Oryzias latipes: one gene and its partners. The protein of the gene in region 3 interacts with the protein of the main gene of each other region in a biochemical or structural test. Links are inferred from orthologs where the notes say so. Each region holds a gene or a part of one and is shown on either strand. Other genes may lie near its edges. The genes, in order: luc7l, rbm15, SRSF protein kinase 2 and prpf38a.

Evidence for each region.
Region 1: of the proteins of SRSF protein kinase 2 (region 3) and luc7l, one has a biochemical effect on the other in vitro, tested with the Homo sapiens proteins (2 studies listed by BioGRID and IntAct). The link is inferred for Oryzias latipes from reciprocal best matches to the Homo sapiens genes SRPK2 and LUC7L.
Region 2: of the proteins of SRSF protein kinase 2 (region 3) and rbm15, one has a biochemical effect on the other in vitro, tested with the Homo sapiens proteins (2 studies listed by BioGRID and IntAct). The link is inferred for Oryzias latipes from reciprocal best matches to the Homo sapiens genes SRPK2 and RBM15.
Region 4: of the proteins of SRSF protein kinase 2 (region 3) and prpf38a, one has a biochemical effect on the other in vitro, tested with the Homo sapiens proteins (2 studies listed by BioGRID and IntAct). The link is inferred for Oryzias latipes from reciprocal best matches to the Homo sapiens genes SRPK2 and PRPF38A.

What each region holds. Positions count from the first base shown.
Region 1 is NC_019877.2:9,490,620-9,496,895, reverse strand, and holds the start of luc7l (putative RNA-binding protein Luc7-like 1), read left to right. Parts: upstream 1-2,807; 5' UTR 2,808-2,983; coding exon 2,984-3,044; intron 3,045-4,176; exon of another isoform or gene 4,177-4,247; intron 4,248-4,253; exon of another isoform or gene 4,254-4,985; intron 4,986-5,281; coding exon 5,282-5,376; intron 5,377-5,513; coding exon 5,514-5,612; intron 5,613-5,881; coding exon 5,882-5,992; intron 5,993-6,079; coding exon 6,080-6,223; intron 6,224-6,276. Other genes in the region: protein FAM234A, read right to left, coding at 143-275, 464-588, 1,030-1,212, 1,316-1,426, 1,513-1,768. UniProt on the Homo sapiens protein: May bind to RNA via its Arg/Ser-rich domain.
Region 2 is NC_019865.2:10,859,008-10,865,456, reverse strand, and holds the start of rbm15 (putative RNA-binding protein 15), read right to left. Parts: upstream 4,332-6,449; 5' UTR 4,168-4,331; coding exon 1,630-4,167; 3' UTR 1-1,629. UniProt on the Homo sapiens protein: RNA-binding protein that acts as a key regulator of N6-methyladenosine (m6A) methylation of RNAs, thereby regulating different processes, such as hematopoietic cell homeostasis, alternative splicing of mRNAs and X chromosome inactivation mediated by Xist RNA.
Region 3 is NC_019864.2:11,770,292-11,775,400, reverse strand, and holds part of SRSF protein kinase 2, read left to right. Parts: coding exon 1-28; intron 29-673; coding exon 674-781; intron 782-852; coding exon 853-922; intron 923-2,824; coding exon 2,825-2,917; intron 2,918-3,234; coding exon 3,235-3,327; intron 3,328-5,109. UniProt on the Homo sapiens protein: Serine/arginine-rich protein-specific kinase which specifically phosphorylates its substrates at serine residues located in regions rich in arginine/serine dipeptides, known as RS domains and is involved in the phosphorylation of SR splicing factors and the regulation of splicing.
Region 4 is NC_019862.2:23,721,854-23,727,095, forward strand, and holds part of prpf38a (pre-mRNA-splicing factor 38A), read right to left. Parts: intron 4,995-5,242; coding exon 4,873-4,994; intron 4,619-4,872; coding exon 4,533-4,618; intron 3,432-4,532; coding exon 3,321-3,431; intron 3,231-3,320; coding exon 3,124-3,230; intron 1-3,123. UniProt on the Homo sapiens protein: Involved in pre-mRNA splicing as a component of the spliceosome.

The DNA of each region.
Region 1 (6,276 bases), on a different chromosome or scaffold from region 3:
TGACACTTGTGTATGATGTATGTATGATTACAAACCATCATGACCTTCCTCTAAAGTCTCAACAGTTTTACATAACAATAAAAACTGATATTTCATAACAAAGTTTAAGATGATTTTGTCCATATTTTCCTTAAATACCAACCTTTTTGTAACAGTATGTAATAAGAACCGTCTTTTGTGCGATGGAGAACGTGGCTGACCGTGTCAGTAAAATTAAGAACCACGGTGGAACCCATCTGGACCCCCGTCTTTCCTGAGAGGAGAACCAGCTGAGTCTGCAAACCAGAAGGGGAGATATGAAGGTTAATGGAGTCATTTTCTCTCAGCATTAGTAAATATCATCTTTGTCACTAACCATTTAGACATTTTATTACTAATAGAGCAGCAACAAATTGAAAAATAATGTGTTTGAAGATTCAAAAAGTGTGAGTGATAAATTGAACGACACATTTTTTCCATTTACCTGAGTGCTGTTAGAGGCCACTAGAAGCACATCACTGACTTTGTCCCCATCAAGATCTGGGACAGTGAGAAAAGGCAAGGAGCTCTGCAGACCTGTTGGCTGCGGCTGCTGCCAAATGACTTTACCTAACAAAATTAAAGGTTAGTAGATTCAGTTTTAGTGTCACTTTTATGGGAGTTTGTGTTTACCTAACTTTTATTTTTTTTTCAGTTAATAAAGTATTAAATCAACAGAACAGAATTAATAATTATCTTGGAAAAGTGTTTCCGAGGGATATAGGACATTCCAAACAAGTAGGAATCCACAGTTTTATCAGGGTATTTGCTTTTTATTTCCCATTTACTTATAACTCTGGATGTGTAGAGTCTTTAGAAGTAAGCTTTCTTTCTTTTTTGTCATGCAAACGTCTATATACTTGTAAAATTGTCAAAGAATGGGGGGGGGGGGGGGGGAAGCAAAAACACTTTTGTAATAACTTACCTACGGTATTCTTTCATTTATAAATGTACTATTTATATCTAAATATCAACTTTACAAAAGTAACAGGTGCTCGGTAAGTCACTGACCGGTGTATTTGTCGATGGCTGTAAGGTTGTGTGAGTGAGACAGGAGGCAGTGCCAGCTTTTCTCTGCTTCTTTCTGCTGACCACACTGGGCCCAGTAGAACTCAGCTTCCAGCGGCGTCTCCCACAGCGTCTCTCCCTTTGTGCCGTCCACCCCGATAAAAAACAGACATGGCGAGCGTAGTCCTGTAAAACAAGATTTAAATAAGATTATGTCATATTAGGAGCAATTTTGATTACAAGAGCATCTTTTTTTTTGTTGAATTGAAGCTGGATTTGATGTTTTTACCTGCATCTGCACATGAGTTGTTCTTTGAACCTTCTGTGTTTTTGAGGACAAACAGAATATCCACCACATGATCACTGCTTGCATGTTCAATAGCCAGGAAGTCATAGGTTGCTGGGGTATAAAACAAGAAAACTGCAGTTGGAAACAAACTCTTCTTCAATATTAAGATAGAAAAAACAAACAAACATCTGATGCACCTGCGTCAGAGAAAGTCCTGTTCCAGGTTTTGAGGTATTGGGCTCTTACGGGACAGGGGAGGATGAAGGAGAAGGCAAACACGATGGTGAGGCAAAGGAACAGTGACAGGAAAAAGATTGCTGTTCTCCAGTGGGTCCGTTTGGGGACATCAACGTATTTGATAGAATCCCTCTGCTCCGATGCCGGTGGTGCCGTTTCTGCTCCATCTTCTGTCCTGAGAGGATCACCCTCGGTGGCACGCTCTGTCGATGCCATCTGTGCCTCAACGCATTACCAGCTAACAAACCGGCAAAAGTATCATGAATGTCAGAAAAGAAGAAAGCAAGACCACATCCTCACATTGTGGTGGCTCGTTTTAGCATCTGTGTGGAATTGAAATTCAGTCTCTATCTATGAGCAGAGCCAGACTAAACTCGATGACAGTTATAAATTGGGGGACAAAGAAAATGAAAAAAAAAGAAAAAAGAGCCAGTCACTCAGTGTTTGCTTAGTCGAGTTGCTTCTACCTCGTCAACCTTTGTGGACTAGTGTCTCTATGCAGTTGTGCCAACACCAGAGCATTCTCCTGATAAAATCTAAAAATGCAGGAAGAAAAACACCAGCTTTGAAATGAAATTACGCAGCCTGTTCATATTTGTTATGACCGCAGGGTAAGCCGTAAAAAATTACAAACAGACCTAGGAACCTTGGCGAATATGTTTACATTTTAACTTAGAAATTTATCTAAAAAAACGTTGTTTTTGTTTGGGGGCCATGATCCGTTTTGGTTGGTTTCATGGCTAATGTTGGTTGGCCAATTTGTTGATCAGAAACAACCAGAATCATTTTCAAACATTTTTCCTTAAAGATAAAGTTTAAAACTTATATTTAAAAATATATATTTTAAAAGGTAAAGCAGTTTTCTTACTAAAAATCGTTCACAGTCGTTCCTTTCGTCTGTTGCGGGTTATTGGGGACAAGAAGCTAGCATCAGGACGAACAGTGCAATAGCTTTGTTTGTGTATTAACCCAGGATTTGTCTGTCAGGTTCGCCTACATTTGTAGATTTAAAACATACAAAACGTTTAAATCATCGGCTACAAAGATGAATAAAATATAAATAAAAACACGTATACGTACTGCATTGGGGGAGCCTATAAGTAAACGAGCTTGCTTGAAATGTATTTAGCCTGTCAGTCAAACTTTAGAGAGAAAAACTAAAACAATTTTATTGGTGTGCTTTGATTGGTTGAGTTACTTTTTCCAAGAATCACTGCGATTGGTTGAAAACTGATGTCAGAAGGACTGCCAGTTGCTGTCGTCATTTCCCCAAAACAAAACGGAAACTGACGAGCTCGCGATATAGGGGAAATCTGTTCTGGGTAATGGTTGGATGAATAATTTGTTCGACTAACCCTGCGTATAATCCAAGGAACCGTTCTCGGGTTATTGACTTGAAATAAAAAGGTTGTTGAAGGAACACCCTCGATAATGTCTGCCCAAGCTCAAATGAGAGCTCTGCTCGACCAACTCATGGGAACAGCGAGGGATGGTGAGTTGCCGTAGCATGCTAACGGAGCTAGCTAGCCAAGATGGAGTCTCTGCTGAGGCTGGCTTGTGTTGGCGTGTGATGGACAGACCTGCATGAATGAGTGTGCCACAGAGGGCTGCTTGTAACAGGAGACCGTTATTTTGAGGCAGAAAAAAATAAAAAGAATACAAGATTTTGATGTTACTTGTTGTGGCTTTTTTTACATCTCGATGAGTTTACCTCTACTCTTTGTTATCTTAGCGATACAGCTCGTTAGCTAATACTTGCGTAACGTTTATTGTGAAGCAACTCAATCATTGGACACCATGGTGTTAAGACCTGGACTGAGTTCAGTTTCCTACCTGATCATAGCTTTGGCAAATTGTATGTGTATATATATATATATATATATATATATATATATATATATATATATATATATATATATATATATATATATATATATATATATATATATATATATATATATATATATATATATGACTTAACTTAGCTTAACTTGTGACGTTACAATTTCTTCGAAATGGCGTGCGACATTAGAGGTTTTATATAAGTATAGAGTAATGTTAAATATGTTTGTATTCGTCAGTTAAGGTCTACCCTCCATGAATATATAAAAAAAAACAACTATATATTATTTTTCTGTAGTATTATTGTGCTACTACTGTCTCTTTAATGTATTAGCTTAGTGTAGTAGCACACTTACTACTGATATAAAAACATAGCTTTGTTAAATACTTTATTTTGTGCTACATGACATAATTTGACCAACATTACTGTCAAGAAACGCATTAGTGACATTTCTGTAATCCAGATATTGTCAATAAATTGCATTGAGGGAATTTTGTTTTCCTAAGACTACTAAGGAATTTATGGGATGATCAGTTGATAAATGTAAGGTGGTGAATTATCTCCCACTCCATTGTTAAAAATTGAGATTTAAGTTAAAAATTGAGATTTAAGTTGGAAAAACATTTGCAGCTCCATAAATCAACTCAAAACAACTTTTAAAAAAGTGAACTTGTGTTGTGAGTTTGTTGTTGTATGCCTGATGAGATTGATACAAATTTCTTCCCATACATTTGTTGCATACAAATTGAACAATTGTGGCCCCTTTATTTTATTCATTAAGGTTCAGTGTATCATTGCCAGCCTACATCAATCTGCAAAGGAGTTGCAGAAAAGCCTCATGTTCATCGAGCCGTGAGTCACACATGATTTTTAAAGATGTTATGAATAATATCCAAACAAATTGTTTGCCTTCCGGAATTTATTGTAGCTTTTCCTTTTATTTTAACACAAGTTGGTAACTCCTCAGTGGCACACAAATGCATAACAAGGTAATTGTTGTGTGGGACCAGATTTACAATTTGCAATAGTGCAACACAGCTTGAACTAAAACGTTTGTGCGCGTTGTATCAAAAAGAAAAAACTTTCAATTTACCTCACACTTTGCAGTCCATTACACGTCTATATTTCAGACGACAGTGTAATGCTTTCCACACTAAAAAGGTTACATTATTTACAGTCTGTTTTTTGTATGACTCCCAACTTCTTATCACAGGTATTGGCAAGAAAACTGTTCCCATTTATACTTTTCTACAGCGGGTTTTAATTCTGCAGCTGGGGTCTTGAAGATGCAGAAGGGTACAGTATGTGGTGCAGATCACAGTGTGTATAACTTTTTTGTTTTCCCATTCGATTTATGTTGAACTTTTTTTTTTTTTTTTTTTTGTAAAGTGACAAATTTAAATGAAATATTCATGAGAGAAGTGTAGGTCTTTTGTATTACCAATTTTGAAGAAGTGACATTTACTTATCACTTTTTTGCACTTGTTTATTGCTTTTTGGTGTTCCACAGTATAGAGTGGACAGTGAGCCAACAATACAAGTTTAAATGACTTGAGGCTGTTGCATAACAAAGTCATAATTGAGGTGAAGGTAAGCATGTAGAAATCCCAAGTTCAAAAATAAAAAAATAAAACAACAGAAAAAGCTTTAAAAAAACTTTTTTTAGTGATGCTGATAACATTTATTATGAATTTTTAAAACTTTACAGTAACAAGACTCATATTTTTATTTATTTTTTCCCCATCACAGTCTATTTTTCCCATCAAACTCTACAAAAACAAACATTTGCCAAATGGATGCACTTAAAACAAAGGATATCTAACCACTGATCTCATATGTGTGAGGTGGCTCTAATGTTTGGGTTTTTTGTTTTTGTACTGTTACAGGAGATGAAACACGGCAGAGGGTCAAGTTTACCGATGAGCGGGTGTGCAAAAGTCATCTTCTCAACTGCTGTCCACATGACATTCTGTCAGGAACTGTAAGGAGCCTCTATATTCTTTAAACTTTGTGACAAACGTCTTTGAATACATAAACATATTTGACATACTTTATAAATACATCATAGTATATTTATAATGATGAAAATAATGATCTTGTTTGCTATGTCTTTGTTAGCGTATGGACCTGGGGGAATGTACAAAGATCCATGACTTGGCACTTCGGGCGGACTATGAAATAGCCTCCAAAGAGAGAGATCTTTTCTTTGAGCTTGATGTAAGTGAAGCAATATGAGCAAGTCTTTTTTTTTTTTTTTCATTCTAAGAAAACTGTTGTTAAAGTCCCCCTATGACAATTGTTTTCTTTAATATAAATGTTCCCAGTGGTGTTTTGATTATAAAATTAATTCATTCATTCATTCATCTTCTTAACCGCTTTGTCCCTTTCGGGGTCACTGGGCTGCTGGAGCCTATCCCAGCCACTGTTTCGTTCTTAAGATCATGTTTTCTCAAACAAGACTTATTCTTTTTTTATTGGACGTAAAGGCAGTGGATCATCTGGAGTCATTCATTGCTGACTGTGACCGAAGAACTGAGCTCGCAAAGAAGCGCCTGGCTGAAACTCAGGAAGAGATCAGTGCTGAGGTGGCAGCAAAGGTAACGATTTACAGTCCTGTTTTCTTATTTCGTGTTTTGCCATCACACAATAGCTATTTCAGGCTGTGTGGTTTTACTTTCTTTTAGGCAGAGAAAGTGCATGAGCTGAATGAAGAAATAGGGAAGCTTCTGGCCAAGGCTGAGCAACTTGGAGCGGAAGGCAACGTGGATGAAGCTCAGAAGGTTCTGCAGGAAGTGGAAAAGGTCCGCACCAAGAAAAAGGATGCAGAGGTTAGTAAGGAGCGCTGGCCAAATGAAACCTCATACATGAATTGAGCAAACCT
Region 2 (6,449 bases), on a different chromosome or scaffold from region 3:
GGGCTACACAACTTAAAAGCTGCCTCGTCAGCGAGGACTCACAAACACTAGGGCGCCGCTTCTTTCTGCAGAGTCTTGCAGCTCGTTTGACGGGAGTCCAACCCTTAAGCGGGTCTGCTGGTCACATGTACTACAAGTCTGCCACACATTGTTTTCAGTACATATGAAACCAAAGTCAGCAAATTATCATTTACACAATAACTACTGCATGACAAACATACTGGAGCTCATAGGGTCAGCAGACTTTGGGGAAATATTGGCAAGCATAAGTAGAAATACTTAAAGAGCTCTAAAATTTTACATTTACTGCTAATGTACATCTAAAACCATAAAACTGCACGGATCTACTTGCTGTAAAAAAAAAAAAAAAAATAGCAGGTTTCTCCCGCTATAACAGCATGTTACGGATTTTGATTGTTGTGGGTCTACAGGAAGTAAATGTCTTGGACTGTCACAAATCACCAAACCTTCCAGCTTTTCTGCTCAACTGTACTTTAACTTATTCACTCTGCAAGCATCCATGTGTGGAGGAAAAAAGGGGGCACTAAATTAAAAAAAAAGCTTTAAAACGAATAAAATTCTAAAATTGCAATGTAAGTATTTGCATTCATTCGTTTTGCATATTATGGGCTGTTCCCTGGGCAGGAACACCGCTTAAACGTTAGTGTTCAGCTATCCACACACAGATATTAGCATCCCCAAGTTATGCTACATTTCGGCAAAAAAAAAACAAAAAATTTCAGGAACTTGATTCAATAAAACCTGACCCCTCCCCCAGCAAAAGTTCACAAAACTGCAGCTGAAATACATGGACTCTAACCAAATGGTGACCTTCAATTAACTACTGTGGAACCGAGGTCAAACACAGAGCACAACTCATTTTTTCTTTGAAACTTTTAACGGAAATGGTGTTATTTTAACTAAAGAACACGGCTAAGTTATCGGATGTAGTTCCATTGAAGAGTTGTGTGATGTGTTTTAACCTTATTGGAATATCTGTTCTCCCTTTACAACAAAAATATTTGTTACTGCCATTCTATAACAGTTAATAGAACCATTTATTTCCATTTCCTCAAGTATCTTGAGTTCACAATTTACTCAAAGCAGAAAGAGCTGACAATTCACTGCACTTTAGGTGAAGGTAAGGGGGGGTTTGCTGTTTTTTTCAGAATACCAACAATAACACCATCAGCACAGGCTGAGGTAATGCAACATAGTGGATCAGAAAAAAAATGATCTAAAAGCAAAAATTAAATAAAGTCATTTTTATATGTTGGGCTTCTTTTATCACCGAGTTATTGTGTAAATACTCTGAGGTTTTTCATTCTTGCAGAACATCTGAATTTTAACTAATAAATCCCCAAATCATCAATTTGTAATGAAGCATTTGTGACTGATCAAATTCAAATACTCACTTGATATTTTTAAGATGAACCTTTTAGTTTGGTTGCAGGGCACCATATGTCTTTTTAGTGAATTACATGGCACCTTACAAACACTCAAGAACCATACTAGTGTACCCCACAATGCAGAACACAGCATGCAATAATTACTGACAAACAGCAGACTTGTTTTTTCTTATATTCCACTTGAACATAGTGCATTGTGACTTTTTCTCTTTTTTTTTTTTTAAGATGCTCCACGAACCACAATCATGACCAGATAGTCTTCTTCGCTTTTTGCCAGAGCTTTTGCAGAGGAATCCAGGAATTGCTGAGAGAAATCACAGGGGGGGAAAGCATGAAGAACCCCTGTGTTGTCTTTATCTCTGCTCCCTCCCACAGGCAGACTGATGACCCCAGCTGCTTGTTTTTGGTTGAGGTAGGACACCAGGTTGCGAAGGGGCCGCTGGGTTGAGGCCATAGGATCAGATGAAGAGGAGTCCTCTGTGCTTCCAGGAACTGCCAACAGGATGGCGTAGCCGCCTGGACCGGCGACTTTGATGCGCCGAGACACCTCATCAAGCTTTGGCTGGTCCAGACGGAGACGCTGCGTGATCTTTAGCTCGCTCACCTGCCTTCCGGTTGAGCCGTCGATGAGCAGGTCGCTGGCGACGCCGTAGTCACCTTCTAGGAGATGCATGCTGGCTGGAAAGTTGCTGTTCTTCAGGAGCAGCATTCCGCGCCATGCCACAATGAGTTTGGTGCCATCAGGTTTGGATTGCTGGGCTCCTTTAGAGCTGCTTTCAGAGCGTTCTCTCTTGGCAGGCACTTTGCCACTGTCGCCCGCTTTGCGTTTCCGCTCACCAGCAGATGAGAGTCCTTTCTCAGAAAGACTCTGGCTTTTAACCCTTCGATCCGCCCCACCTCTTTCAAGGCTAATGACATGTTCTCTGGCTGGTGAGGCCGTTTCACTGTGCACAGGATGCTCAGAGTCACTGAAACGTCCTCCGTCTCTGCTGCTGCCCCCAGGACTGCCATCTGGAGAAGAACGTCTACGTCTCACTGTCCTCTCAGTGCTGTCAGGAGAGTGATCTAGGTGACGGCCATCCTCCAATAAGCGTCTCTTACGTCCTGGTTCTCGCCCTTGCAGCTCACGCTCCAAAGACCAAGGCTCTCGAGTTCTCCGGTCGCGTTCCAAATGTTCCAGAGGCTCAAAGGGGGATCCCCGGACCCGCTCACGAATGGCCGGGTTGGGCCACTCCGTTGCTGGAAAGAGTTCTCTGTCCCTGAAGTGAAGTGGAGGTGGAGTCCGATCTCTGACTCTCAGAGGTTCAGGCGTGGCGCGGTGGACAAACGAGTCAGCCACCATGTCAAACGGTGGAATAGGGAGAGGCTGCAAGAACTGCTGCTGGTACCGGTGCTCAGTGTCTGCGAAATCCACCCGAAGTCTTCTCTCTGGGCCTCCCAGCGGAAAGCCTCTCATGTGTGTCCATGCTGCTTGAGCAGCATCTAAACTTTCATACTGGATGTAGGCCCAAGTGTCACCTTTTCTGTAGTCAATGGTCCTTATAGTGCCAAAGCGATCAAATTCTCTGGCCAGGGCAGCTAAAGGAACCCACGGTCCAAGTCCACCGACCCACAAACGGGTCGTGGGTGTTGCTTTTCCGTAACCGATTTTTATAGGGTTGCGACCCACTATTTTTCCAGACATGCTAAGCTTAGCACGATGAGCCATGTCAAGGTTCTCAAACTTAAGAAATCCATATGTGCTGGTCTGTCCTCGTGATGGTCTCTTGATGTCCACCTCTGTTATGACTCCAAACCTGTCGAAAGCCCGCCTGAGGTCTGCTTCTGCAATGTTTATGTCCAAGTTGCCTAAAAACAAAGTCCTGTTTGCTCTTTGGTCGTCTTCCGGAGATATTAAATCCTCTTCACGAAAAGCTGCTCGCTCTGCAAGGAAAGCTGGACGTGCCCTGGCTTCAAACAGGGCGAACTCTCTGTCCCGGTCCAGTTCTCTGGGCAGAGGGGGCGGAGGGGGAGGAGGGAGCCGTCCCAAAGCCAGCTGCTGCAGCCGGTAGTCTCTGTAACCCAGGCCGGTGGGCGACAGGGGTCTCTGCAAGTGTCTGTGACTTTGTGCTGCGCTGTACAAGTCCCTCTCCACGGGGGAGCGGCTTCTCCTCCTGCTCGTGTAAACGGCCTCGATCTTCAGCGGCCGGTCGTAGAGCACGAGCCGGCCTCTGGCGTGTTTAGCAGCCCTGGCGTCCTCCGGCTTCCTGAAGTTAACGAAAGCAATCCGTTCGTCGTTGCTGCGACTAATTTTGACGCTCACGTCGCCAAACTTTTTGAATTCATGAAAAAGCCCATCTTCTATATCCTCCTCGCTCAGCTGATTCCCAAGGTCGCTGATTTTGAGTGTTTTGTACTCACTCTCGGTGCTGGGCGGCGGAACACGCTGCTCCGCGCGCGAAGAGGCTCGCGGGGAGGCTAGGTCTAGCGACAGGCTCAGGTTGTGGTTTTTACCCACGGAGCTGGAAGCAGCAGACTGACAGCTGTGATTATTTCCAGTCCGACTATGGCCCTCAAAATCTCTGTCCCTTTTCTCACCCAACAAGCTCCGTCTCGTTGAGCCGCTGTCGCTTTTGGACGAACTGTTTCCATTATTACTCCCACTGGAAACGGAGAGAGCCCCCATTTTCTTGCTGGTCGGGTGGCATCCTCCCCTCTCTCGAATGTCGTCCAAGGCCCGGGACCGTTTTTTAATCGGCGACCGCTCCTTTCCTTTCATTGCAGCCCACGAAGAGTAAACTCTTTGTGGTAACTGGCTTTTTCCTGCACTCCTTCCACAAAATAATGTAGAAAATATCCAATACGTTCAAAGAATTTATTTACCGACCCTGCGGCAAAACAACAACAGTCGCCATTTTGTTAAGATTTGTGAGAAGACCCGCCTCCATGCGCTGATTGGCCGGTGTTTGGGGGGCGGCGATTGGTTAAAACCTTTTAAAATCCCGTCAATCACGCACACAGCGATGGATTAAAAAATGGGTCATTTCAGAATAAACCTATTTTAAATAATCCACATGCAAAACTAAGTGAAAATAATTACTGAAAATAATTTAAAAAATGCCAAATAAGCTCAATGTACCCCCTAAAATGCATTTTTTCTTGTCCCGTCCCCCATTGTCCAAATTAAATCTTCAATAAAAGCAGTTAAAATTAAATTTTAGATTCAGTTTTTGGTATATCTTGTTTTGATTGGTGTTTTATGTAACCGTGGGATTTTTTTAAATAAAAGAAGTATTTCAAATATTATTTATGATCAATACAATGTGTTTCCCACCGAATCCACACAATTCCTTTTACCATAACAGGTAAGAGGGTTAGAATATAGCAAAGAGTGATATGCTGGACTTGACATCATCAAACAGTATTCAAAAAGAATGGGTAGAGCAAAAGTTACGTGGATCTTTTATTTTTAACACATAGTTATCCTAGATTGAATGTCTCACTCCGCCTCATGCAACCCTGTTTCCCTATAATCAGAGTAAGACAATTATTGTTATTGTTGTTGCTTTTTTATGAGTAAGTAAGCAATCAAATTAGCATGTAAAGTAGCAACTGAGAAAAACAAGATATCACCATTCATTCTGGGGTGGTCAGAAATGCAAAAAGGCATGCCATTGAAATCACATTAATTTTCTTATTGGTACTCAGTGACAGCTAAACAACTAGCGTCTACTCCTGAGAGAAAGTCAATATTAATACATGTTTGCAACCCTGTTACTTGCAAAAATTGATAACAAGGTTGCATCAAGTCTTGTCATCATCAATATAATGTCATAAATATTTCGCAGTTGATCTGTAAGCAAAGTTAATCAAGCCTTTGACAGATATTACCTTTTATTGACGATTATATAGCAGAGAATTAGAAAAGTCAAAGTTTGCTCTTCATGAATTTTGCAGCCCAAATGTCCTCCAGTTCTGGAATGACCCAAATATCAACATATTAACTGAATATTAAAAGATACAAACAAAAACACATGGACATGTTCCATATGATTTATTTTCTAAATCGGAAGCCTCTTTGCAAGTGTCCAGAAAGTAGTGAAACTGGAAGTATGATTTAAAATTTTTATTCATTTTTCATTTTGTTTTACTGTATGTATGTGTGTGTGTTCTGAATTTGAGGTGTAAAGTGTATCAGGCATCATTCGAATTTGCTTTTAACGGAAGACAGGTGTTCTTTAATGTACCACAAGATGGAAGTGGTCAAAAGGTCTGAAGGAAAAATAGGAAGTCAAATTTACCCCAAGCCTTGTTTGATCAAGCACACTTTTTTCAAGACAAGCTGGTAAATGTACTGGTCACCATGTCCGTTAGCCGAGGACTGTTGAGCGTGGAAACCACTATCCAGGATGAAAAATCCAAGATGCATGAATACATCAAGCTCAAGGCCCCAATTGACAGTGTGCTCTGTGAAAGTCTCAGGCAATGGGGAGCAGAGGATGCGGTGCTATAGGACAGATCCTCATGGGAGGACAAGCCCCTACATGGGATGTCCCATTGGACCATTAAGGAAGTGGCTTATGTCAAGAAGTCCTACCAATGGCTAGAAAGGCCTGGCCTACAGGACAGCACTGAAGCATTCATCCTGGCAGCGCAGGAAGTGCAACTTATTCAAGTTATAAACTGACCAAGCAGATGCCTCAATAAAAGCATGTGGTCAAACAACAAGAGTTAGATTGACTGATTCTCCAGAGCACACTTTCAAGTGGTAGAGGAGTGGACGTCCAACAAGCTCACTCCTGATTGGGGAGAGTGGTTGCCATAAAAATGCTATCTCAGGCCGACTCTGACTGATTACTGCTCATTAACGATTTCTGGTTCCAACACGGCGATGTTAAGAACTGCAGACTGAATTGACGAAGGTCTTTGGAACTGGAAGTATAAGCCACACTCTATGGGTGATGTCACACTCGCTTGGTCCAGTTCTCTTAAACAGTTAATGGCTAAATCATCTTTTGAAGGTTTTTTTTTTTTTGTTGTACAAGATGTGACGCTTAAACA
Region 3 (5,109 bases):
CGCTGACCTTGGAAATGCCTGCTGGGTGGTAAGACGCAATGTGAAATAATCTGACTGAGTTTGATTCAAACCAGGATTGTTTTAGTGTTATTTAATATACATCTGCTGTTTTTGATAGAGCTGCGGTAACAAGACAATTTCCGCTCTGTGGGATGAATAAAGTTCTATTCTATTCTATTTTATCCTACTCTATCCTAAATCCTTTGCACGGGAGTTCAGAGTTTCTTCAGACTTTTTATGCATAACAGTATAAAAAACAGCTTACAGTCTGCAAACATTTCTAATAAGAAAAAAAAATCCAACACAACCACTACAATTTAGTGGGGGAAAAAAACTAATATTTTTAGGTTGATTTGCTTTGCAGATTTGAGTAAATTTGACTGATGGAAAGAAGGATTTTGCTCAGAGTTAGGTATTTTTTCTCAGTTTCATAGTTGTTTTCTTCACGATCCCTCTAAATGAATTCTAAATAAAGGTGTCCTCTGTATTCACAAATGCTAGAAGCAAATTCATTAAATGTTATAAACAAATTTCCAAGATGTTAAAACTCCCAAACTCAGATCAGCAACGACAACAATCCTGGTCTCAAGTCAGTCACCAGGACAACACGATTTGATCATTATTTCTACCCTAAACTAAAGTCATTTTTCCTCTTGTTTCCTCTCATCAAAAGCATAAACACTTTACTGAGGATATCCAGACGAGGCAGTACCGGTCCATCGAGGTCCTGATTGGAGCGGGCTACAGCACTCCGGCTGACATCTGGAGTACTGCCTGTATGGTGAGGAAGGTTTATTAAGTAAACCGTCCACTGAAAGGAATCGCTGTTTTACTGTTTGCTTGTCTGTTTAGGCCTTTGAGCTGGCCACGGGAGATTACCTGTTTGAGCCTCATTCTGGAGAGGATTACTCCCGTGACGAAGGTGAGGATTTAAATCTTCATGTCCTACATCCTATGGATCCAGATTCATACTGTGATTCCCATGTTTGTGTATGAAAGCAAAGAAGCAGACACATCTGTGCTTTAAATACAGTGGTGGACAAAATTGTTGGTACCCCTCAGTTAAAGACAGAAAGTCCCCAATGCTCACTGAAATGACTTGAAACATTCAAAAGTAACAATAAGTTAAAATGTATTGAAAACTAAATAATCAAAATCAGCCATTACTTTTGAGTTTTTGACTAACAAAATTATTTAAAAAAAAAAAAACTAATGAAATAGGGCTGGACAAAAATGATGGTACCTCCATGAAAGACTGAGAACTAATTGTCCAGGGGGTCATGATGAACTCAGTTATGTCCTTTAATTGACATCACGGCTGTTTTCAAACCCATAATCAGTCAGTCTACCTATTTAAAGGGAGACAAATAGTCACGTTGCTGTTTGGTGAAAAGGTGTGAACCACACTGAACATGGACAACAGAAAGCATGTGGGCTTTCACGTCATTTCAGCATTGTGGACTTTCTGTCTTTAACTGAGGGGTACCAACAAATTTGTCCACCACTGGATGGGAGTTGGATTTTCTCCATTGTTTACATACTCAACCTCTTCTTTGTTTTTTAAACTCTAAGTAAAATAAAAATTACGTTTCCCAATAAAGAATAATTTTTTCATTTAAAGTAAGTCCCGCTCCGATCATCTTTTGATCTATTGTAAAGTTGTCTTCTAATTATGAATATGCTGTTTTTAGCCAAACTTTAAACGGCGCAAAGCAACTCTACCCGCACTTCCCATCATCTATCTAGTTATGTGCACTTCCTCTAGCTTACAGCCCCTCACACGGCCAACCTAACAACACTGGTGAGCAATATTGGAGCCACCCAGATTCCAGCTCAGACGAGGAAAACAAAGACGTACGTGGATCTAGTCTTCCACAAGAAGCGGAGCAGGGAGCTTGTGGCCCACCCAGTGTGTTTTCTATCTCCCAAATATGCTCAGAATTGGTTTTGTCTGCTCCTGATTTCCCAAAATTGAAATAAAGAAATATTAAGAGATACAAATTGAAGCTTTATAAATGTGCTCCATCATGGGAAAAATTCCACAAGAGCATATTCAAAAACTCAATTGATATCAAAGTGGATCTTGAATCTTTTAAATGTCCCCTTTTTGTCATTTGTGATCAAACTTTTGCCCAATTTAATTCGGGTTTGAATTTTATTTTCTAGAAATATTTTCAACCGTGACACCTTTGATTTTTCTAAATGTATTGAACATTGGAGAAAAACTGAAGCACCAAAAGAGGAACATGTTGTAAATGTAATTTAAAAAAACCCTGATAAGTTATCTTAGTCGACCCCCACCCCTTTCCCAACGCCGTTCTATCTGCTGCTGTTGATCCTGACCTTCAATCTGCAGCTGTGCCTCCACTCATCTCCTCACTCAAACCTACAGTTTAGAGATTTTGTGAGCACACAGGAAGTACTGCTTTAGTATAGAATGGATTCTTTGTTTTTGCATGTGCTACTGTTATTTCCTGCATGTTTTTAAAGTAAAGATTTGTCTAGATTCTTAAAAATGACTAGAGAGCTTTTAATCTGTTGCTATAAAATCCCACTGACTGTAATATTTTCTTTCCTCACCTGAGCTGTGGAGGCACAGTTTAACACTTTCACATCTTCACTCTCTGCGACTTTCTCAATTTTTCTCTCTTCTCCCCCCTTCCAACTTTTTGTTGTTGTCCCCCTGACATTTTTATTCTTTTAACACCATTTTTCTATTTCCCCTGTGTGGTTTCTTTCTGGTTTTATTATTCCTCCTCCTCCCTCTCCTCCCTTTGGCACCTTTTTTCCTCCCCTTCTCCGCTCGACCCTCTTTCCTTCGTAGACCACATAGCCCACATCATAGAGCTGCTGGGAAGTATTCCGAGGCACTTTGCTCTCTCTGGAAAATATTCCCGGGAGTTCTTCAACAGAAGAGGTAGCGCTGGCCAGAGAACTGGTGGGACCGGCACACGCACATGCCAAACAGGAGCAGAAATGGACAATGGCGGATTCTTGCAGAATGTTGAGCCAACTTTAGAAAAAGAGATTTTTCTTTGACAAAGTGACCAAAAGCAAAATAAACCAAATCTAAGAAAACGGCTCATCCACAAACTCTCTTTCTGCATGTCCATGCCGTTCCTTGAGGCAGCAGTGTGTGTCCGTACCGTGCAGCCCAGTGTACGTGTGTGTTGATGTGTGTGCATGCTGTAATGCTGAACCGTGCCTGTTCCCTTTGTGACGTATGGTGGGCAGACCACATCGCTCTGATCACGGAGCTCCTCGGGAAGGTCCCGCGCAAAGTGGTCGCTGCCGGGAAGTACAGCCGAGAGTTTTTCTCCAAGAAAGGTAAACGGCTTGCTGGTTGTTGGTTGGTTAGCTGTGGTGGGGGCCTCAACCTGCAGCGCAGGAGCGCCACAAGCCCAGATCAGACCTTTGTCTGGGAAAGTTCCCACACTTTGTTGTTCAGATGAGGAGCTACAGGTAAGTTTGCAATGCTCAGTAAAATGTAGAAAAAATGGTCAAGTCCCACTCTGATCATCTTTGGATCTATTTTCAAAGAGTTCCCAGTGGTCTTTTAGTTCTGAGTTTTCCGTTTTTAGCCATATTTTCTACATATTTGTAGAACTTGCACAATTGGTGACTGACTAAAAGCTTTTTTGTCCCACTGTAGCAAGGCTGATAAGAAACGTTGTTTGATACGTTCAGCTTTAGGCTTGAAGCAGGTTTAAACTAAGCAACTAAGCTTCTCTGGATGTATTCTGCAAAACGAGGTCATGCTTTCTATGGATCTTCAGTCTGAATCATTTCTGTGGAGAACATCAGTGTTAGCATTTCTAGCTGTGCAGCCTGTGTCTGCATCCATTTGGTTCTCAAACCTCCAAAGCTCAACACGAAGAAAGAGTTTTGCTGCTTTTGTTGCACAATGCAATGATGCTTTCAGGTGTTGCTGGGTTTGACTGACTGACTGACTGACTGACTGACTGACTGACTGACTGACTGACTGACTGACTGACTGAACTTAAAAATGAAAAACGGTCATCTAGCTGCAAGTGTGGAAGTCTTTCTAGCGTTAGCATTGATAGCAGCCCTAAAACACTTAAAGCACTTGTCATTTTAATTCCACTCATGCGTTATTAGAACATGTTATTGAACTTTTCCTTCTCATCTTCACTGGACAAATACTTTATGCTGGAAGGTTTTGAGGTGAAGACAGAAAGAATGTAATGGTTACAAACACCAAATAAGCTTATCATGACTAAAAGCCTGTTTTAAAACTTTTCCGCTCTGTCTGAGGCTACAGTTTGAAGTTGGAGTCCCACTTTTGGAATCCATTCCCAGTCGTCTTTAAACTATGATTATGGCTCTTTTAGCCAAAAAAAAAAGCAGCAGTAACTCCTTAGAAATTTGCCTCATAGTTGTGGGCGGAGCTGTAGGTGCAGAATAAGCCTGCCTCCCTTTCCCATCATCCATTGTTTTACACTGCTAGTCTGCAAGTCCTCACAACTCCAAGCTAACATTACAGGTGCAACAAAAATGGCGAGCACTATTGGTTCTGTCTCGCCGTACAGTGTCTTTAAATAATATGTGGAAATCCCTTCTGTTTGGGCCGGGTGAGGTATGAACCCGATAGAGCTGATGACCGCTGCACTCTCCTTTCTGCTAGTTTACTCTTTACAATGAGATGGGAAGATCCGGCCTTTGATGTCTCTATCCGAGGTCTGAGTCCACACTTCGTGTCTCCGTGTTCTGCCTTTTATCTGGTTTTGCTGCGTTAATCTAGACCCGCTTTCCGGGTCTGTCTCTGGGGTCTCTGCTGTCTTGCTCAAAGGCGCTCGGCAGGATTCTACTGGAGTCAAATCTCTGTTTCATCCCCCATCATGTGCAAAAGAAAGGGGTTACCACGGCAACCACATTTTTAAACTGGACTTCTTAAGAGTCTGAGTCTGTCGTATAAATGAAATGACAAAAACATAAAAGTGAATTTGAAGTCCCACTCTGATTGATCTATTGTAAAGCGTTCCTATTGGCCTTTTAATTAAAATTGTGCCGTTTTTAGCTAAAATTATAGAAAAAAACTGATTCATTTTCTAGGACACTGATTCTGCAGAGCATTGGTTCATTAGAAAT
Region 4 (5,242 bases), on a different chromosome or scaffold from region 3:
ACATGAAATTAAGGTTAATGATAAAACTTAGATCACATCATTTTCACTTTAACTTAAATTCGTTGAAGCAAAAAATGAATACACCCTGCAACAAAATCTACTCCATCTAGTATTTTGTATGACCACCATGATTTTTAAGGACAGCACCAAGTCTTCTAGGTCAGATTTTTTTCAACCTTTTCTGAGCCACGGCACACTTTAACCTTAAAAAAAATCCCGCGGCACACCAGCATCCAAAAATTAAAAAAAACAAGATGAAACTCATAGTCTGTATTGATCTACAGCCCCTCCACAATCTCACATGCATTTTTGAGATAATTGTTGCAGAAAAAGCTGGAAACTGCAGCTGTTTTTTTTCTAAAAGATGCAATAAAAGTTAAGTTAGAAGATTTAAAAACAGTTTGATGTGTGTTCGTTGGTTTCAAGACGTTTAACAACAGATCTCCTTGTGCGCTGTCACTCTCACAACCCAATGCATCATGGGAGATGTAGTGCATAAAACGGCTGGAGATCGCGTCTCTGAGCCTCATTGTTTTGTTCACTTGTTCCACGGTCTGATACCAGATTCTGTGGAAAGCTACACCGCTAAAGACGAGCTTTAGCTGGTATTTTTGTTAGAACTGAGCGACTTTACGAGCTAAATCGGGACAAGGAAGTGAAGACTTTAACCACTTCTGATTGGTCAGACTGATGACATGTGATTAAGCCCCCCAAGAATGATTGGTGGAGACAGTTAAAGGGGCGGGACTTTTCCAAAATACAGCCGAAGCTGCAGCTGAATCGCGGTACTGTACCGTCATTCTTATCAATATGTCTTTAATAAAATAAAATAAACGCAAAGAAAAAGTATTTTACGATCTTTTATATTATTAACTCCTCAGAGTTTTATCAGGGCCTGTTTGGATGAACAGAGAGCTGAAATCCTGGAGATGGGAAATGTTTTTAGATCAGTTAATGAGGGGAATTTCCCACGGCACACTTGACCATCTTCCACGGCACACTAGTGTGCCGCAGCACACTGGTTGAAAAACACTGTTCTAGGTATTTCATGAACAACTTGGTGACATATTTCAACGTGTATCTTTTTCCATTCTTCAAGAAGAACCTCTTTTACAGCCTGGATGCTGGATGGAGAGTGATGCTCAACTTGTTCTTCAGAATTCCTTACTTGGGTTCAGATCAGGAGACATCCTTGACCAGCGTTCAAAACCGGTTGTCCGAGACAACCAGATTTCAAGGAGGACAACCAAAATGAACCTGATGGTTGTCCGTGTGACAACCTGGTCTTTTATTCAACATTTTGGTATTTTTCGACTATTTTTCAAGTTTCACGGGTTAGTTTTTGGTAACCTCTGAATTGAGACGTATGCAGCTAATTCTTTCCACCGACAAACGAAGTGCATGCATCATGCTAACGAATCCTTTCTGTTTCTACATGTGCACTTTTCAATAAAGATTTTTCAAATAGAAGTGTTGAACAACAGTACCTGGCGCGACCGCTAGAGGTCTCCAAAAACACGCAAAAAGATTTAAAACACATTCATAAACACTATAACTTTCACTCATAACAGAACAGACTGACATGAGCTGGAAAAAAAAACTTTTTCCATGGGATTGATATAATATTCTAAATTTTTTACAACAGTTTTGGTATTTTATATTCTTTAAGGAACAATTATCAAAAACCAAAGAAAAAAATAACCAATATATTTAAATCTGTGTAAAGATACTAGTTATAAAGATATTGGTTTCAAGTTTTTGGCAATACTTTGTGTAACCAGATGCTTCAGTATTTAGTAAAATGTTTGTTTTTAATTTTAAAGAGTTTTTTAAATGTCCATCATAAGAGGCAGTTAATATTAGATGTATAGAAGAAATAAAGATGTAAGTACTGACATCTGAGTAGGTTTAGTTGCTGTTGAATTCATTGGTATCGAAGGAAAACCAAAAATTGGGGAGGACAACCAAGTTTACTTGCCTCGGACAACCATTTTTTCCCCCTTATTTCTAACACTGTTGGCCATCCAATCACCTTCACCCTGTTCTTCCGAAATGCAGCAGTAGCTTCAGGAGTGTGTTTTGGATCATTGTTGTGTTGGAAAAGTGCTCCTTGACCAAGTGCATAAAGTGATGGCAGCATCTTCTCCTTTAGTATAGAGCAGTACATTGTTGAGTTCATGATGCCATCAATGAAATGCAGCTCCCCGACACCAGCAGCCCCACATCAGCACACTGCCACCACCATGTTTCACTGTAGGCACCATGCATTTTTCTTTGAAATTCTCACTTCAGCAACACCATAGTTTTAAAACCATTAGTTCCAAAAAGGGGGATCTTTGTCTCATCACTTCAGAGTATTGAGGCCTTTATCTTTTTTAGCTAATTCTAGACGTGCTTTTTTGTGCACGGGCTTTGGGAAAGGCTTCTTTCGTGGACAATAACCATGCGTGCCATTCCTCTGCAGCGTGCGCCGGATGGTGTCACGGGAAACGGTCACTCCAGTTTGGCGTTCTACTGCTTTAGCTAACTGCAGTGAACTACAGTGGCGATTTTCTTCAACCTTTCTCATCAGAAGACGCTCCTGTTCAGATGTTAGCTTCTGTTGACGGCCTGGACGTCTCTGTAAGATGGTTGCACTTCCATCTTTCTTAAATTTTTAGATTACGATCCAAAAAGCCCTTCCCATTTCATGCTGTCTCCGATAGCTACCCATGGAAAAGAAATGTCACAATATCTGAGAAAGGACAGGCTTTTCTTTGGTTAAATGCTCTTTTCTAGCCACCTCTGTGCTGTACACGTCTTAAATGAATCAGTAGACTCACTTGTGGTTGAATGCCTGATAATTAGAATTCTGTAGTCTTAAGTTTGGCTTTTCTCCTAAGACTCTGACTGGGGTGTACTCCTTTTTACAACGTGGGCGTGACCTAATTTGTTAGGTCAAAAAACAAAAACACACGTTTTTGTGTGCAACTTAAAATATCTGGTTTGCAATCAATGGTCCACCTGTGTAGAAAAATGTTAATTCCAAAAGAACACTGAAGGTTTTCGGACAAATGTAGTGGGGTGTCCTCATTTATGCTGAGCACTGTACATGAACGACATAAGATCTGAGACAACACCCACCGTCTGGGTGAGCGGCTGCGTCTGTAACGTGGCGACGGTGAGCGGCGAGGTCTGTCGTTGTCACGGTAACTCCGCCTGTGAGGTTCGGGGGAGTGCAGTCGCTCTGGCTGTGGGCACGGAAAGCAAACACGGAGTTATAACTCCTGCAATGATATTCGGCCAAACCAAGAGATCAACACATCATCAAAGGCCGTTACCTTTTCGTCCTCCTCATCTTCTTCCTCACTGCTTTCCACTTCATCCAGGTCTTCCTCCAAAGCGCTGACCCGAGGGTCCAGCATCTCTGCCTCCTCCAGGACCTGCCTCCTCTGTGACACACAGGAAAGGATACGATGACTTTATGGAGGAAAGGGGTCACTTGTTTGTTTTTACTCAAAAATTCTCAAAGACAAAACTGTTGTTACATCTTTGTTCATTGTTATTTGTTACTGGATTGGCCGTCACGGGACATACGGCATGACACACAAGCGCCATTACTACACATTGAGTCTTCACTTGTTTGGTGAAGAAACGACGAGGTCCAAAGTCCGCAAAGAATTACAAACGGGGACACGATGTATTGCAATGAACCACAAAAATGATGACAACAAAATAATTTATTACAAAATAATAAAGGAAACACATTTCAAAGGTTAGTGCTCGCATTTTAATAGAGAGAAATCAGGCTGGGAAGCGTGAGGTGCAAGTAGCATTGATGTTTATTTTTAATCAATGTTTGATTATTTTATCTTTTAATTTATTGTTTGTGTGTTAGCCTGGGGGCGGTGCTGGCAGTGCAGACTCTTCCTGCCCCTTCGACTGTTCTCCACTTAATGATGTCACAATGTGAGGACCCGCTCGTTTTCGTGGGTTAGGAGGCGCCGGTGCTCAGAATGCAGATTTTTAGAGGAATACCCAGAAATGCGTAAACGGATCAAAACACCGCTTTGGGGTTTATAGTGAGAAATAAACATTACAATACACTTAAAAGCTCAAAAACCTGATTTTGAATGGTGTAAGCCTTTTAATGAAAAACAAAATCCAAATGGTTACGAATATGATTTGAAACCGATTAAAGTAAATATAAAAACACAAAAAAATTCCTCTTTCAGACACATTTCTCGGTAACTGTGTAGAAAAACTATTTGCCCTAATTTCATTTCTATCCAATGCTTTCCCCATGAACTAAAACATAAATTTGAGACAGACTACAGAGCTTTCGGAAAATATAGACACCCCCCCCAAAAAAAACTGGTCCAGTAGCTTCAATAAAATGTATAACTGACAGTTTTTTTCTTTTAAAGATTACAAATTTAAAATGCACTATTTAAAAGATAAAACAAGTATGACATTCTAAATCTACAACTGATAGTTGTACATTACTGTACAACCAATTATGAGTCAAAGGGGGCTTCTGGGAAGTTACCCACCTGAAGTCGAGGAAGGATGATGTCACACACTCTCTCTGCGTGAAGAAGTTCATCTATGAACTCGTCGACGTGCATCAGCTCAAACTCTGCATCAAAAACCAGAAAAATCCATCAACCTAACAGAGCTTCATGAAGGCTTACATGTGTCACTCCTTGTCCAGGTCTGGATCCACATGTCAGAGTCCGCTCAAAGGAGGAAGATGCATGAAAGCTCAGTGTGAGTCCAAAAGCATGTGGGAGGAGCAGCAAGGGAGCTTCCATGTTGGAAACCTGATCTTTTTCTGTATGCAAGCCAAAAAATGAATAAAGATGAGAAAGATTCTAATCTTCTGTGTCTTACCTCCATTTCTGTTCTGGGTCTTAATCTTTCTGTAGTCATTGTACAGCGGTTCCAGGTATTTGTAGCAGTCCACGGCGGTGCCGGTCAACCGCATGTACATGGCTCCAAGAAGACGGACATATCTGACAGACGTGACACCAAACGGTTATGAAAAAAATCGGAAAAAAAGCTAGAAAGAATTTTTTTGGTCTCTGGTCATTTTCATCTGTTACCATATCTTCAGGGGTTTGAAAAAGACACATTACAGCACAAAATTTTTCATTAAAAGTGAGAATTAGAGGAAACAAGGTATTTTACTGTTAATTTTATTCCATGTTTATTTGCTTTGTTTATCTCTTTGTATTCCATATTTTTTAATTTGCATCTAGGC